4 linked regions of the Rattus norvegicus genome follow. Each later gene encodes a partner of the first gene's protein in a complex. Links are inferred from orthologs where the notes say so. Each region holds a gene or a part of one and is shown on either strand. Other genes may lie near its edges.

Evidence for each region.
Region 2: Pfdn6 (region 1) and Pfdn2 share a complex: the UniProt entries of both Homo sapiens proteins name them as parts of the PAQosome complex. The link is inferred for Rattus norvegicus from reciprocal best matches to the Homo sapiens genes PFDN6 and PFDN2.
Region 3: Pfdn6 (region 1) and Ruvbl1 share a complex: the UniProt entries of both Homo sapiens proteins name them as parts of the PAQosome complex. The link is inferred for Rattus norvegicus from reciprocal best matches to the Homo sapiens genes PFDN6 and RUVBL1.
Region 4: Pfdn6 (region 1) and Asdurf share a complex: the UniProt entries of both Homo sapiens proteins name them as parts of the PAQosome complex. The link is inferred for Rattus norvegicus from reciprocal best matches to the Homo sapiens genes PFDN6 and ASDURF.

Annotation. Positions count from the first base shown.
Region 1 is NC_086038.1:4,946,387-4,949,826, forward strand, and holds Pfdn6 (prefoldin subunit 6), read left to right. Parts: upstream 1-1,457; 5' UTR 1,458-1,689; coding exon 1,690-1,753; intron 1,754-1,960; coding exon 1,961-2,031; intron 2,032-2,122; coding exon 2,123-2,247; intron 2,248-2,727; coding exon 2,728-2,851; 3' UTR 2,852-2,932; downstream 2,933-3,440. Other genes in the region: Wdr46 (WD repeat-containing protein 46), read right to left, coding at 1-12, 97-184, 312-424, 531-611, 713-919, 998-1,066. UniProt on the Homo sapiens protein: Binds specifically to cytosolic chaperonin (c-CPN) and transfers target proteins to it. Binds to nascent polypeptide chain and promotes folding in an environment in which there are many competing pathways for nonnative proteins.
Region 2 is NC_086031.1:86,304,566-86,308,627, reverse strand, and holds the start of Pfdn2 (prefoldin subunit 2), read right to left. Parts: upstream 2,801-4,062; 5' UTR 2,791-2,800; coding exon 2,716-2,790; intron 1-2,715. Other genes in the region: Nit1 (deaminated glutathione amidase), read left to right, coding at 2,933-2,934, 3,502-3,597, 3,994-4,062. UniProt on the Homo sapiens protein: Binds specifically to cytosolic chaperonin (c-CPN) and transfers target proteins to it. Binds to nascent polypeptide chain and promotes folding in an environment in which there are many competing pathways for nonnative proteins.
Region 3 is NC_086022.1:122,488,487-122,492,553, forward strand, and holds the start of Ruvbl1 (ruvB-like 1), read left to right. Parts: upstream 1-1,267; 5' UTR 1,268-1,297; coding exon 1,298-1,438; intron 1,439-2,522; exon of another isoform or gene 2,523-2,601; coding exon of another isoform or gene 2,602-2,979; exon of another isoform or gene 2,980-3,041; intron 3,042-3,892; coding exon 3,893-3,979; intron 3,980-4,067. Other genes in the region: Rps25l3 (small ribosomal subunit protein eS25-like), read right to left, coding at 2,602-2,979. UniProt on the Homo sapiens protein: Possesses single-stranded DNA-stimulated ATPase and ATP-dependent DNA helicase (3' to 5') activity; hexamerization is thought to be critical for ATP hydrolysis and adjacent subunits in the ring-like structure contribute to the ATPase activity.
Region 4 is NC_086027.1:55,617,382-55,621,598, forward strand, and holds the start of Asdurf (ASNSD1 upstream open reading frame protein), read left to right. Parts: upstream 1-1,417; 5' UTR 1,418-1,474; coding exon 1,475-1,564; intron 1,565-3,152; coding exon 3,153-3,206; intron 3,207-4,217.

The DNA.
Region 1 (3,440 bases):
CAGGTCAAAGTGCTGGCAAGGGTCAAAATTAACCATGAAAAACTGAACTCGCCCCACCCGGTCTCCTGGGCCCCTCCTCTTCCCGCTCGGGCTCACCTTGGCAGCACTAGAGATGTCCACAGCCTCCACGATGTCTGTCTGCAGTATTTTTGCTGTGTCTTCCCCATCTTCTCCTACCAGAAACCTGAAAGGCGGTTAGGGTGGCGATGGTGACACTCCCCACCATGGAAGCGGGCATACAAACATAAAAACACCAACACAAAGTTCCAGAAAGACAGGACGAGGGAAAACCCAAGTCGGGGTCCACTCACCCAGGTTCCTCTGCAAGCAGCAGCTCAGCGCGGGCAGCTCTGACGCTCGCCTCTTCCTCCTGTGCTTCAGCCTTCTCCAGTTGGCTTTGGGTTTTAGGCTTCGAATGCGGGAGCTGCGGTATTGATGACAGGGTTGGAAGAACCGAAGAGCATGTTGCGGGGGAGGGGGAGGTCCTGGGAAAGACACTGGAAAAGCCGCCACCGCCCGCGGTTCCTTACCTTTTTGGACTTGTCAATACGGCAGAACTTCCTGGCCACCTCCAGGGGGGCGGGGACAGGTCCTGGGAACGGGTCCTGAGCCTATCGAGGGGCAGGGAGGTAAGAGGCAGGTTCTGATGGACCCGGTTCCTCTCGTTCTCAGGGGGCGACCTGCACCGCCACCCTGTCAATCCCGGGCTCACCCCAGACAGGGTCCTCTGCGGCTTCTTCCAGTCTGAGGCGTTCTTTGGGATCGGGGGCTTCTTGGAGAACCGAGGCTTCTGGGCGATGCGCGCGCTCTGGGACCTCGGGGGTCGCGGCTCCCCAGTCCTCGCCTTCTTCCGTGGCGGCCCCGGAGAGGCGCCGGCGGCGGACGGGGTGGGCTCCTCCTCCCAGTAGCGCCGCGGTTTCTAAGGGGCAGAGGAGAAGCCCTCGCACGCGCAGCCCGAGCCGGGCCCCGGGGCGCGGACGCCTCCCACCAAAACTACCTTCCTCTTGGCCTGAGGCTTGTCTTTCTTGGGTGGGTCACCCCTACCCGGCTTGGGGGCTGTCTCCATCCCGACGACGGAACGACGATCCACGTGCAAAACTCCTTTCAGTCTTCCCAAGGCCTGCGAGGAAACTTCCGGAAGTCCCCGAGACTTCATCCAATCATCGCCGTAAGGGCGTCTGAAGCCTCTGGCGCCATGTTGAGAGAGGGCACGCCCCTGAGAGCCGGATAGGCTCGCTAACAAAGCAAATTCTAACCAAATAAAGATTTAAAAAAAGTCTAGGTCCAAAATCCTGGTGGTGATAAGCTTTTACTTTCCATATTAAATGCTCTGTCTTGCCCAAAATCTCTCGAGTCCAGTCTTTTAAGTAGAACAAGCCTCACACAAGTCAGAACTACACGTCCCGGCATGTGTCAGAATGTAACTTCCGGCGCCGTCTTTTTTCCCCCGGCATGCCTTGTTTATTTCCGGGTTTATGAATACAGAGGGCAGAGCGTGAAAAGGTTAGGGTTTGGATTTAGGGGGGTGTCTCTTCTTTTCGCTCTCTAATGCCTAGGGAGTGACTATTCTGGACGTAGAGAGTCCACGGTAGCTCGTGCTGTCCTTCTGCAGGGCCAGGAAGGGGAGCTCAGGTGCTTTTCAGAGCTTGAGACCCAGCGACCCCCGCCCAGGAGGCTTTCTCCTTCACCATGGCCGAACTGATCCAAAAGAAGCTGCAGGGAGAGGTAGAGAAATATCAACAGCTGCAGAAGGGTAAGAGAGCGGAGCTGGTGTGGTCTTGTCCCTGTCCACTCTCAACTCTGATGAGGCGTCGTGCCCCATCAGAGGGTAGGAAGGGGGGATATTGTGTGCAGCGAACTCGGTATCCTCTCTTTCTTCCTCGCAACCATTCTCCCCAGAATTGTGCGGTTCCGGGCCCATTTGATGTTTCTAATCGTGTATTTCCTCTCACCATCCCAGACTTGAGTAAATCCATGTCAGGGAGGCAGAAGCTTGAAGCCCAGCTAACGGAAAATAACATTGTGAAGGAGGTGAGGGTGGGACGCTGGGGGAGGGGGGGAAGGGCGAGGAGGGACTTCCCTGGGCACTGTTATGTCATACACCGCCCCATCCCCTCTTCAGGAACTGGCCTTGCTGGATGGATCCAACGTGGTCTTTAAGCTTCTGGGACCCGTGCTTGTCAAACAGGAGCTGGGGGAGGCTCGGGCCACAGTGGGGAAGAGGCTAGACTACATCACAGCGGAAATGTAAGTGCAGCAGCTGGCCTTTTCAGTGCAGAAATGTTGAGCCCGTGCTGGATAGTTCTATATCTATAGCAACGCCCGCCTAGCCACTTCCATAAAGTGGCTGCCCTGGAACTCGCTGTGTAGACCGTGCTAGCCTGTGGTAGATGCACCAGCTGCTGCCTCCCAAGGGATGGAAGCATGTGCCACCATTCCTGGCCTTTCTTTTCGTGTTACATTTGGGCCTGGCCCATATTAGTCAAAGGATAACCTGTGGGAATGTTCTCCCTACTGTAGGGTTCTTCTGTAGCTTGAATTCAGGTGCCAGCCTTGAAGGACAACAGCCCTACCTAACTGATCCATCTCACCAGCCAGTTCTTCCCCTTAGCGCCCTCCCCGCTTTCTGTCCCACAAACCTCAAATGTTCCACCAGTTTCCCTTTATTCCAGAACGTTGAGCCCTCACTGATTTCTCCTTTCTGCCTGCCTCTCTTTTCCTTCTCAGTAAGCGCTACGAATCGCAGCTTCGGGACCTCGAAAGGCAGTCAGAGCAACAGAGGGAAACCCTTGCTCAGTTGCAGCAGGAGTTCCAGCGGGCCCAGAACGCAAAGGCTCCCGGGAAAGCCTGACCCCGTGGGAGGGGGAGGGGGCTGGGGAGGGAGGGATGAGGCTAACCCTGAGTCAATAAAATGTAAACAGAACCAAACCTACTTTCTTTCTAGCCAGTCTTTATTCACAGTCCTTAACTTCTCTGTACGCTTTACACCTCCGGGACTCACATTCCTGTGACTGAAATCTCTAGCTGGATTCTCCCGTGGCTGAGAACTGAACCTAGGGTGTTGCCTGTGTGCCCTCAGTTTCAAAACTTGAGTCTGAAATGTCTCAAGCTATTTCTTTTTTTTTTTTTTTTCTTTTTTTTCGGAGCTGGGGACCGAACCCAGGGCCTTGCGCTTGCTAGGCAAGTGCTCTACCACTGAGCTAAATCCCCAACCCCTACTATTTCTTGCTCATATATACAACCCTTTGGCTTCCCTTATGTTGGTGGGCGCAACCCGGGGACACCGGAGTAGACACTGTCTACAGCACAGCATGTCATTGCCACAGAACTCAGTTCTCTGGCCTGAGAGCCCAGGATATGACCCGGTCATTCGCTGTGAACACTTGTCCCGGAGCAGCCCTAGGTTACCTGATTTCCTCTGTCTTCTTAGGATTGGTTAG
Region 2 (4,062 bases), on another chromosome or scaffold:
GGGAAGAAAAGTTCCACAGGTAAAGAACCAAAGAACCAGAGTTTGAGAACTTGGGGGGTGGGGGAGGTATGGTATTGAGGCATGAACTGCCTGGCAATGGAATGCTAGGGAACTTAAATTCTGAGGCTTGTTATCCAAGTGCTGGGGAAGAGAGGGTCAATGGACTCTCTGGCCAGCCATCCTAGCCTGGCTGGTGAGTTCTAGGCCACATGAAAAAAACTTGTGTCAAAGAACAACAAGGCTGACTGTGTCTTCTTCAAGTCTTGCAATACAGCTCTTTTAAATCTTCCAGCATTTCCAAGGCCGGGCAGTTCATGGCTCAAGGCTTATGAACACATTTCTTCTAACGAAAAAAAAAAATCCTCACATTGACTAACTTTCCTCAGCCTTTAGAATTAAGCTGAAGAATCCTCTAGAAAATAAAAACAAATTAGCATTTAGAAAGATTGTTCAGATCATGTGCATGTATGTATGTGTTTGTGTGAGATGAGGTGCTCAAGTGCAGAAGCCATCTCTCCACCCCTAACTAGCATTTAGTCAACACACTCTGTAGTCTCTGTTTTTTAGTCATGGTGATGGGGGGGGAGGGTGTCGAATGAATTTTCTTGCCTAGTACACTAAATAGTTATGAAATGGGAAGTACATGTTTTCACAGATAGAGGAGGGTAAAAAGTAAGAAGAGAAATCATGTGCAGAAGTTTTTGGTGTAAGGACTGGAGCAATGGCTCGGTGGAAGAACTGTTACTTCTATAGCAGAAGGCCTGGGTTTGGTTCTCAAGACCCACATGGTAGCTAATAAGCAGTTATCAGGGGCTTGGACCCCTCTTCTGGCCTCCAATGGCTCCTGCACAGGTGTGGTACATGCACACACTCAGACATGCAAATATACATAACATATTTTTGAAGTCTCGTTGTTTCATTTTTATTTGCCATTCTGTCTGTCTTGTTTGTTTTTGAGATTGTGTTTCACTCTGTAACCTAGGCTAGCCTGGAACTGAGAGGGTAACCCATTGGGATTATGGGTATGAGCCATCACACTTGGCTGTGTCCAAATTTAAGATAAAGTCTATTTCACTTACCTGTTTCTCTGTGTTAAGCAAAGTATAACACAAGACAGACTCTCAAAAGCTTTACTTTTTTTCTTTCCCACTGTCAAGGTGCCTCTTCCATCCCCAGAATGTCACTTCTCTTTGAATACTTACTTTCCGACTCATAGTAGAACTGTAAACCCCACTTCAACAGACGATGCTCTCCAACAGTATGGGTTTTAAACTATTTCTGCTGATACTTTTTTTTAAAGATGTATTTATTTATTATATATAAGTACACTGTAGCTATCCTCAGACACACCAGAAGGCATCAGATCTCATTACAGATGGTTGGGAGTCACCATGTGGTTTCTGGGATTTGAACCCAGGACCCATGGAAGAGCAGTCAGTGCTCTTAACGGCTGAGCCACCACTCCAGTCCCTATGCTGATACTTTTACCTGCAGTGATTGCTCAACAAGCAACTGACAAATATATGATTAAAATAGCTCTTCAATCCCAACCCTGGACCTCCATACCAGGTGAGAACAGACACCCACCCAGACCCCACACCTCAAGGCTTTCCCATTTAACCCACCAAACTACACCCCTAGCTTCAACTATTTTCATTTCGATTGTGTGTTCTTCTTCTTCTTTTTTTTTTTTTTTTTTGGTTCTTTTTTTCGGAGCTGGGGACCGAACCCAGGGCCTTGCGCTTCCTAGGCAAGCGCTCTACCACTGAGCTAAACTAAATCCCCAACCCCAATTGTGTGTTCTTCTAATATCAATTAAACACTAGTCCCAAGACTAACAAAACATGGTCCCTATACCACAAAGGGCTTTCTGATTAATTCGTCAGATGTATCCCGATGTTATGAAGAGCAGAATCACACCTGCATTAGAAAATGGTTTCTAGCCTCTTCTGAAAACTTAAGTCTCTGCAGAAGGGAGCATAGAGAGTGAGCTGGACCATGTCTCAAAAAACGAAAACAACCCGAGCCAGGAATAGTAGTCCCAGATAATCCCAGTATTTGGGAGGCAGAAACAAGCGAATCTCTGTGAGTTCCAGGCCAGCTTGGTCTACATAGTGAATTCCAGAAAAGCAAGGCTACATAGAGCGACCCAGCCCGACCCTATAGCAACCCTCATCCCCACCCCAAGACAAAACAAAAACAAAACAAAACAAGAAAATAACTAAGCCACAGTCTCCTTAGTCCAAATAGTTACTGAACACTAAACTGGTCAGAGTCTGAGTCACGTGGCTCTGCAGCGTGTTTGTGATGGTGAACACGGTTTTGGAGTCAAAGACTAAATAACCCACTCACTGACTAAGAACAGCCTGGGATTCGTTACTAGATGACACTTCAAACACCATATTCTCTTTAGGGTACCTCGTAGAGGGGGAGACGACGATCCATGTCCTTAGGGACCTGGACAACCCTCCCAGATCCTGCATCTAAGAGCTTTCTCTCTCGACTACCCACCCACACCCCGGGCGTGCCTCTCACCTACCTACCCCACCTACTCACGCCCTAGAAAGGATTGTGATCACCCCCAAAAACGCCCTCTCCCCTGTGCGTGACCACGGAGAACGTGGGAAGGACTAAAGGCCCCTCTGAATCACAAGTCCTTTTCCTTGCACGAACTCGACACCGACCCAGGTGCCTTCTACGCTCGCGGTTCCTCACCTGTTCCGCCGACACCGCCCCCTTCCCCGTGCCACTCCCGCCGCTCTTGCCCACACGACCGCTGCTGTCCGCCATCTTCCCCACCTGCAAGCTTTCCGGCCTGCGCACTCCCACTGCGTCACATCCGCTCTAGTGGTTACCGCCCACTTGCTCCTGCGCTTCTGGCTTCTGGCAGCTCTTCAGATCCGACCCTGCGAATGGTTTTGGCTGTGTCTTCATGTAGGACCTACTCCCCAACCCTGCCTGCTGCGGTGAATTCCACCTGCTATGCTTTAACTTGTGCAACAGAGATTCTTGCCCCGGGGAGAGCCGGGGAAGGACGCGCTAATCAGAGGGCGGGGGCTCGGGTTGGGATCTGATCTTGTACCCATCTACCTACCCACCACGAGAATGGTGGAGATCTAAGGAGGGTGAACTTTCCTTCTGAGATTCTGGTACAAGGGGAAAGATACATGTTGAGTCTATAAAGCTGTCCAGGTGGCACAGCCGAGAAGAGAGAATTGGGGAAACGAGGAAGGTTCCATGAGATGACTTGAACTGCGGAAACGTTTGGCAGAGGAAAAGGGCTTCAGTTTTAATGTGAGATCACTGGAAGTTGAGGTATTAAGGCACCGATCATAGTGTCCTCTTCCATTTTCCCATTTTATGATCTCATAACTACTAGTAGTAAAGTGTTTTCGAAGCCTTGGGGGAGGGGATTACTGGCCAGGTCTGGAAATGGCAGAGAATTCTAGAAACTTACAGCTTGAAGGAGGGTTAGGTGTCCTGATTTTTCACCTTCTTCAGGCTGGGCTTCATCACCAGGCCTCCTCATCAACTCCTGTCCCTTCTGTGTACCGGATACCGATTACCTCAAATCTCAGTACTTTGTACTCAGCCCAGGTAACATATTTTATGTTCTTTGTCTAGCACGTAGTTGCTAAGTCCATGTTTATTAACCGAATAGTGGACCTGCCATCCACCAAACATTTAATGCGTGTACTCCAGTAGCTTAGGGTTATTTAATGCTCTGGAAGAATGAAAACAAGTCGCTAGGGTTGGTGGGACACACCTCTAATCCCAGCACTCGGGAAACAGGCAGGAGGATCAACTAGGAGTTTAAGATCATCCCCGCTACATAGAAAGGTCTGCCTGGGCTACAAAAAGACCCGGTCTCAAAGGGGAGGTAAAATCAGAAAAAAAAAAAGTAAGTTTCCGGCTCCACCCCCACTTGAGCCTCCCAAGTTTCTCCGCGGCACGCGGTAGAAATCCTGAGAAAACTGCCTGTGTCATTCACAGGCCCAGAGCCATGGCAGAGTCCTCATCGACTTCCTGGGAGCTGCCCCTGGTGGCTGTGTGCCAGGTAAC
Region 3 (4,067 bases), on another chromosome or scaffold:
TCACACCTGTGGGCAAAACACCCATATGGATAGATTACAAAAATGAAAAGACTTGGCACTCCCTGGAACTTGTCTAGCAATCTCTGCCTTTGGTTTCTCGGCTGCCTGTCACTTGTCACTTCTGTTCCCAGTCACTCTAGAACTCACTAGCTGCCTTTTATCACTGTCTTCACTGCTATAGCCACTCGGCATGTCTTCATATTACCAGCTCAGTCCACCATACTATTAATCCAGGTGGATAGACCACTGGAGAAATCTTACAATGGGACTAATGTTACAACACAACTGTACATTGTACAGCACAGGAGGGTGTCTCCTGGCTGACTTAAAAGTGAGGGGCACCTGCTTAGAATGCCAGAATGTCAGAGGGTAAACAAGAATGTTTGCTGTCCTTAGTACAGCCCTCCATGCAAATGAAGCATTAAATTTACACTATGGTACAGTGGGTTGTGGAAATGGACTACCATGTTTGCACCAATAACCAAACAGTTGCTTATTCAAATAAAGGGCCATGTTTCTTCACAAGTCACAGGCAGTTTTTGTTTGGCTACCTGGAGAACTGTACCCACTCAAGACAGGTGAAAATGGCTGGTCAGAGTATGGTGGCAGCACCTTTAATCCCAGCAACTCAGGAGGCAGAGACACCTTCTCTTCTTTTTTAAAAGTTTCTTGGGCATGTGATGATCAAAATCATGACATAAAGTGTTTGAAAAGTTTGGGCTGGAATAGTGCCTTCAGGATCTAGTGTATTCTGGAAAAAATGGGCTGGAAAAGAGTGGTTGGCTGGGCAGCTTCCTCAGGGCATCCTTGGGGTGTCTAAATTAGGTGTGAGTGGGAGAACTTTGGGCAGCTGCTTCGTTGATAGTTCTCTCAGGACATCCAAGCACCTGGGAAAGGTCTAATAATTGTCAGTGAAGGAGTCAACTCACCCTGGCATAAACATCTTATACTAAAGAAAAAAAGCATTAAAAGAGGAGTTTATAATTAAAAACCTGCCATTCACATTAATAGCGCTTAAGAATCTGACGGTTCCCAGTCAAACCTGGCCAGGGCAGGAAATGCCTGCCCTGGGGGAACCTAACCTGTGACACAGACGGAAGTTGGTGGGTGAAACTCAGCCGCCGACAAGCGTAGCTTGTAGCCAATAGAAAACGAAGTCTTTTCGCTTCAACCAATGGCGTACTAATAAGGGCGGGTCCTGGAGAGCGGCCTAGTAACGGCCGCGTGGTAACCCAGGCGCCTGGCGTGCCGTAGTTCCTAGTCTCCACGCAGGTTGTGGCTGCACACACTCGTCAAAATGAAGATTGAGGAGGTGAAGAGCACCACGAAGACGCAACGCATTGCCTCCCACAGCCACGTGAAGGGGCTGGGGCTGGATGAGAGCGGCCTGGCCAAGCAGGCGGCTTCGGGGCTCGTGGGCCAGGAGAACGCGAGAGAGGTGGGCGTGGGGCGTGTGCACGCGGTGTGGGCGGCGGGACCAGGTCTCACTAAGATTTGTCTGAGAAGTGAGGATCACATTAGCCAGCAAGGGTCACGGCAGGCAAATTAGGCCTCACCGGAAACACAGTGGAAAGCTGTGGGATTAAATGTAGAATTGACTAAATTTTCGGAGTTGATATGGGTTCTTTAGGCCTGGGAGCTGATCTGTTAAGTGGAGCGGTGAGGAGGAACACTATGACCTATTCCCCATCCAAGCACTCTAGCTTTTCCAGTTCAGTCTTCTTAAAGTCATTGGAAGTTATGCCAGGTCTTTCGATCGGTTCTGTTTTGCACACGAAGAAATTAAAGGTGGGCCAGGTCGCTTAACCACCTGCCAGTTCAGCAGTAATGAGGCTGGTATTCTCCCGACCCCACCCCAAATGATTACTCTTCCCATTTCCTCAGACTGCTCCACTTTGATCCCTGCAGAGACTCAGTATCTACAAAAACTTGCTGTTTATATGTGGTGAAGACTGCTTTCCCAGCCTCAAGAGCATCATCTATCCAAAAGGGAAACGTTTGACCCTAGCTCACTTGCATCTTTTTTTGCAAGCAATAGTTTAATGCTTTCTATTTGTCAGGCGGCTTTATTGTCTGTTATTTCATTTCTGTCTAATAAACCTCACTTTGGTCTGATGTTTCTAAGCACACAGAAACATTGACATGTTTGCACATTAAATCCCAGTGTGCCAAAATTCTACAGTTAACATTTTACAGTGATGCTTTATGGTATATCTGTTCATGTATGTCTACCGTCACAAGTCAGAGTAAACTGTGGACATCAGCCCACTTTGCACATAAGCCCTTCCTTGTGGGTACAGTTGTTTTGAACACTCGGAGTCAGATGAGTAATAGGTGTTAGGTAAAATAAATCTGAGGACACTCACCTCAAGTGAAATGGCCAGGATAGATACTGGATTGTATGTGACTTCAGAGTCTGTTCTAGACCTGCCTCTGCACTGGGTTCTTGTTTGGCCAATCACGCTAGCAGCCTCCCTGGTACTCAGTATCTTCACCCTTATTATTATTGTCATTAGCTGGTATTTATTTATTTTTTTTATTTTTTATTTTTTTGATTCAATAAAGTTTTATTTTCCCAAATGTACAGCTGATTCAATCTGTTTATGCATCTTCACCAGCAGCTGGGGCATCTCCACCCTTTGTGTTTCTGGTGTAAATTACTTGGGCTCTGTGCTTTGAAACCAGCTTGATAAGTCCTTTACTAAGTAGCTCCTGAAGGGCTGCCCTGGCCAAGGAACCTCGAATCTTCAGTCTCTCGGAGACCACAGCTGGAGTAATAAGCTTATAGTTGGGAACTTCCTTACAAAGTTTGTCGTAAGTAGCTTTGTCAAACAGGATGAGATTGTTCAGCTTGTCCCGAACTTTGCCTTTGGACCACTTCTTCTTTTTGGCCTTGCCACCAGATTTATTTACTGGGTCCTTGTCTTTTTTGGCCGACTTTCCGGCATCCTTCTTCTTCTTGTCGTCTTTGGGCAGCATGGCGAAACTCAGAGAGTAGTGTGGACCACTGCAGCCACACTCTGGTATTTATTTTTGTATGTTTGTTTTCACGACAGGGTCTCACTTTTAGCTCTGGCTGTCCTGAGACTCTGTAGACCCTGCTGGCCTTGAGTTCACAGGGATCCATCCGCCTCTGCCTCCTGAGTGCTGAGATTAAAGGCGTGGGCCTTTACTATGCACCTGGCTTCCTTAGCTGGTATCTCTTTCTTTTCCTATTTGACACAATGTGTGCGTAGGCTGTGCAGTTATAGGCCTGCCATGGTGTTTGGGTAGAGGTCAGAGGTTCCTCCTTCCATTGTGGGATCCAGGGATTGAACTAAGGTTTACACTGCAGGTGCTTTTTACCCACTGAGCATCTCACCAGCTCTTTCCAACTCTTATTGGTTGGATTCATAGCACACCCTTTTTGTTTAGATAATGTTGCCGTAGCCAAACTGGCCTGGAATGCACAGCCCTGCTGCTTTTGTTAAGTACTAGGTCTGTGTTGGCTCCTGCCTGCCTCAACCTCCCCTTTCCCTTCTGTTCACTATACTTTGGTAGCTGCAGCATGTTGACCCTTAGACATATCAAACTTGTACTTTGGTTATTTTCAATTTGCAATTTTTGCCTGAAATGTAGATTTCTGCCCGGGGCTTCAAATGTTACATACAAGGTTATGAGAAAGCCCCCTCCGCCCCAGCTCTCCCTAGCTGCTCAGTGTCTCATTTTGCTTCTCTCTTTGTGGGAGCCATCATATGGCATGAGCTAGAGCACGTGGCTCACCCCCACCGCTCCACCCCACAGCAGTGGTGTCCTGTCAGAAGAGCATCGGAACTGTGTGGACCAAGCCCTGAACTGTTTCTACCATGAAGCATTTTAAGATTGACTGATTGTTTCTTTCTGTTTTGTGCAGGCATGTGGTGTCATAGTCGAATTAATCAAAAGCAAGAAAATGGCTGGAAGAGCTGTCTTGTTGGCAGGGCCTCCTGGAACTGGCAAGGTATTCATTCATTTTCTCTCTCTCTTTTTTTTTTTTTTCCTTTTCTTTCCCTTTTTTTCTGGAGCTGGGGACCGAACCCAGGGCCTTG
Region 4 (4,217 bases), on another chromosome or scaffold:
CTCCTCCATTGTTGGTGGGTTTGCAAGCTGGTACAGCCACTCTGGAAATCAATCTGGAGGTTCCTCAGAAAATTGGAAGTAGTACTATCTTAGGACCCAGTTATACCACTCCTGGGCATATACCCAAAAGATGCTCTAACGTATAACAAGGACACATGCTCCACTATGTTCACAGTAGCCTTATTTATAATAGCCAGAAGCTGGAAAGAATCAAATAACCCTCAACAGAGGATGGATATAAAATGTGGTATATTTCTACAAAAATAATGACTTCATGAAATCCATAGGCAAATCGATGGAACTAGAAAATATCATCCCTAGTGAGGTAACCCAATCACAAAAAAAAAAACAAAAAACAAAAAAACAAAAAAAAAAAAACCACATGGTATGCACACTCACTGATAGTGGATATTAGCCAAAAATCTCGAATTACCCAAGATCCAATCCACAGACCACATGAAGCTTAAGAAGGACGACCAAACTGTGGATGCTTCAGTTCTTCTTAAAAGGGGGAGTAAAAATATTCATAGGAGGAGATATGGAGACAAAGCTTGGAACAGAGACTGAAGGAATTGCCATTCAGAACCTGCCCTACCTGAGGTTCCAGCCCATAAACATACAATATTTCTGATGCCCAGAAGTGCATGCTGACAGGAGCCTGATACAGCTGTCTCCTGAGAGGCTCAGTCAGAGCATTACAAATACACAGGCAAATGCTAGCAGCAAACCATTGAACTGAGAACGGGGTACCATTGGAGGAGTTAGAGAAAGGATTGAAGGAGGTGAAGGAGCTTGCAACCCCATAAGAACAACAATACCAACCAACCAGAGCTCCAGGGACTAAATCACCATCCAAAGACTATATACATGGACAAACCCATGGCTACAGCTGCATATGTAGCAGAGTATGGCCTTGTTGGGCACTAAGGGGAGGAAAAGTCCTTGGTCTTACCAAGGCTGGATCCTCATTGTTGGGGAATGTCAGGGTGGGGAGGTGGGAAGCGGTTGGTGGTTGGGGACGGGGAACACCTTCATAGAAGAAGGGGAAGTGGGGATGGGATACGGTGTTTATGAATGGGAAACCGGAAAGGGGAATAACATTTGAAATGTAAATAAAAATATCCAATTTAAAAAATTAAAAAAAAAAAGCCAAGACCACAGTGTTAGGCACACTACTGATTAGTGATTTATTTTTACATAGCATCCGCTAGGGGGCAACACAGACCATTCATAGACTCTCCAGCCAAGCCAGACGAACCTTTAGCCAAAACTAATGTGCGCTGATGCACAGCTACTTAAAGTCGGAGTTCCAGGATCTAGTATCCACGCCTGCTACTGAGCAGGCGTAAATATGCGCACTCCATTGGTCGAGGTTCCGGAAGGGGCAGGGTCCTGAAAGGAACACTGGCTTCCGGTTGGGCCTGCCGCCTGCTGTTTCATCCACCGCGGTTCCTCCGTTCGGTGCGGCGTGGCGATGCCTAGCGGTGCGGAGCACCCCGGAGACAGCGCCGCGCCGGGACCCACCCGCACATCGACCGCGCACGCCGAGGCCCTTAGCAGTAAGGTGCCGTGGGACGCCGAGGATGGGCGGTGGGCGGCGGGCGGCGGGAAACGGGTCCCGCGGTCGCATCGGTGCCCAGTAGCCTCACCGGTCCATTCTCAGCACCGGCCGCTGGTTTCCCCTGCGTCCTGCAGATTTGCTATGATGGAGGCACAGATTTATCCACTGCAAACAACAGTGATACTGAGACAGAGGTCTTAATGACGTTTTTCCTTTACGCGTTTGCACCACTCTCCTCTCGGAACCCTTCACACATGTGATCTGTTGCTCGTTGGCTGTGCTTCATCCATTTAGCCATGTACCCGCCTGGACGCCATCCATGACGTCCATCATGAAAGTTTAGAAATCTGCCCGTTCTTCCAGACTCAGGCAAAATTTTCTTAACCGAAGTTATCAGTTGCCTGTTGACCTTAAAATATATTCTCACCTTTAAGTGATCCTAAAAACATCAGTTTGGTCATCTCTTTATTATTCAACCAGGACTGTAGCAGATTAATTTTTTCCCTTCCTCTTTTTGGGATAGGGTTTCATAAGTAGCTCAGGCCAGCCTCAAATATTGTTTGAGGATCACCTTGAATTATTCTCTTGCCTAATAGTCAGGATTTCAGGGAGGCAACCCCATACCTGAACTGTACAGTGATCTCAACTTCCAGTTACAGACAAAAATCTTTAAACGTGTGGATTGGAGGGGGTGTGGGTGCAGCCTTTTCAGTTATTAAACATCCTGAATTCCATATTTTTTTTCTGTCCTGTATGACATCTTCAGTACATTGCCTTATTTCCAGTGTGCCACAGTATTCTGTGGTGTCACCTAAAGTGAGATATATTATATACCTGTCGTTTGTAGTGAGCATAAAAGCGCTGTACAAGCAGCCTTGAATCTCAGGGAGGGTGTACTCAATGTAGCTTTGTCGTATGTTAGTACAGCTCTTAGCACTGCCCATGCACACTCATTTGGGTGGGGATGAGTTTTCAGAATACTCTGGCTACTGCCATAGCAAGCCTCTTGGCACTGTGTAGCTGTGTCAGTGTAGACTTATTGCCTATTTGGGCATTTCATCTGATGATAAGGAACAAACTGAGCTTAAGGATACCAGCAGTATGCTGTCCTTAATACTCAAAATAGAATGATACAAGGGTGGGAGATGATGTTGTACCACTGCAGGAAGGGCGTTCGTTCAGTACCGTTCCGTTCATTTTATCCGAATGTCTGGCTGTCATCCAGTGCATACATCATAAAACCACTGGCTATTGGTAAAGAGGAGAAGCCACATTCATTTCTCTTTTTTAGTCTACAGCCAGGCCTTATAAAATTAAAAGATTGGTATTAATTTGGCTAGACAGTGTCTCACCCTGGTTAAAGATGTGAGCTGTGGTAACTGGCGCCTGGCAAGTCTAAGTCAGCTTCTTTCTCCAGCTGTCTTCTACTGGTTCCAGCCTGAGTGTGGTTGCATCTGTACAGTATCCATTTAGACAGGCAGTCCATGACAGGCCCCAGTCCCATGTTTTGTTTTAAAGCAGTTGCTAAAAATGTGCTCACTAAACATAGTTTGAAAACTTCCACTTTAGGTTTTTTTCTTTACTTTAATAGATTAAAGAACAGAAAGTTATTGTGGATGAACTTTCTAACCTGAAGAAGAATCGGGTAAGTTGCTGTGGGAATCTGAATAGTATATATATATATAATATTAAAATTATGATTTAGATTATTTATGCTAACATTGCAAAATTCAAACATCGTAATTTAAAAACTAAAGTGATATCCTCATTTGGTTTTGCATGTTTTAAATTTGTTCTTCCTGTATAAGTCAGTAGATCTCAAAGATGAAAAAATTATATTTTAACAAAAAAGAATGAAGTTTTCCATAGAAAACTTTAATATTCCAAATACTTAACCCATTTCATGGCTTTTAAATAAATGTGTTAATAAATCAGCTACAATTAACTAATAATCGACATTTCTGATATTGTCATTTGTGAAATATTAGATGCTAGGGCAAATTAATACAGAAATTTTTGGAGATCAAACTGGCAAAATGAGTAAATGCTGTATGACACTTCAGAGTAACCGGTGTGGAAGCAGTTGTGAGGATGAATGCGTGTTTACCTGCAAAGGTACTTGCCAGCATCTGTAGTGAAGAGTTGACAGAACAGTAAATGACTGAGCTTGAAGGCAGTAAAGAACTATACATTGTACCAATGTGGTGATATAAAAGAACCTTCCTTGGTCAGAAAAGATCTCCATGTATTATTCGTTTATGAACTAAATTATAAACCTGTTGCTGTGATAGCCTTTGTTATTTGAAAGACTATGGTGTGATGACACATGTGAAGCAAACAACCGTCTCTGGGTGGCATAGTGATCAGTGACTTTGTTTATCTGTGGTAATCACTCTTCTGAATATTCCTGAAGTTCAAGAGTGGGTGATAAGAGGATCCTGTTCAACATCACTGTGCAAGTCGCATTCTTCTTTTTTATTAGCATGTCATGGGTACTGCGGCCTGAAGCATGGACTTTCAGTGCAAGGACATGATTGTCATGACCCTGGGACACCACTCATGGGTGGCTAGGAATATTGGTGCTGTATGATGGAGTGAATGGACTGTGACATAGTAGGTGCTCTCATAGCACAACACAGGAGAAAGCAGAATACAG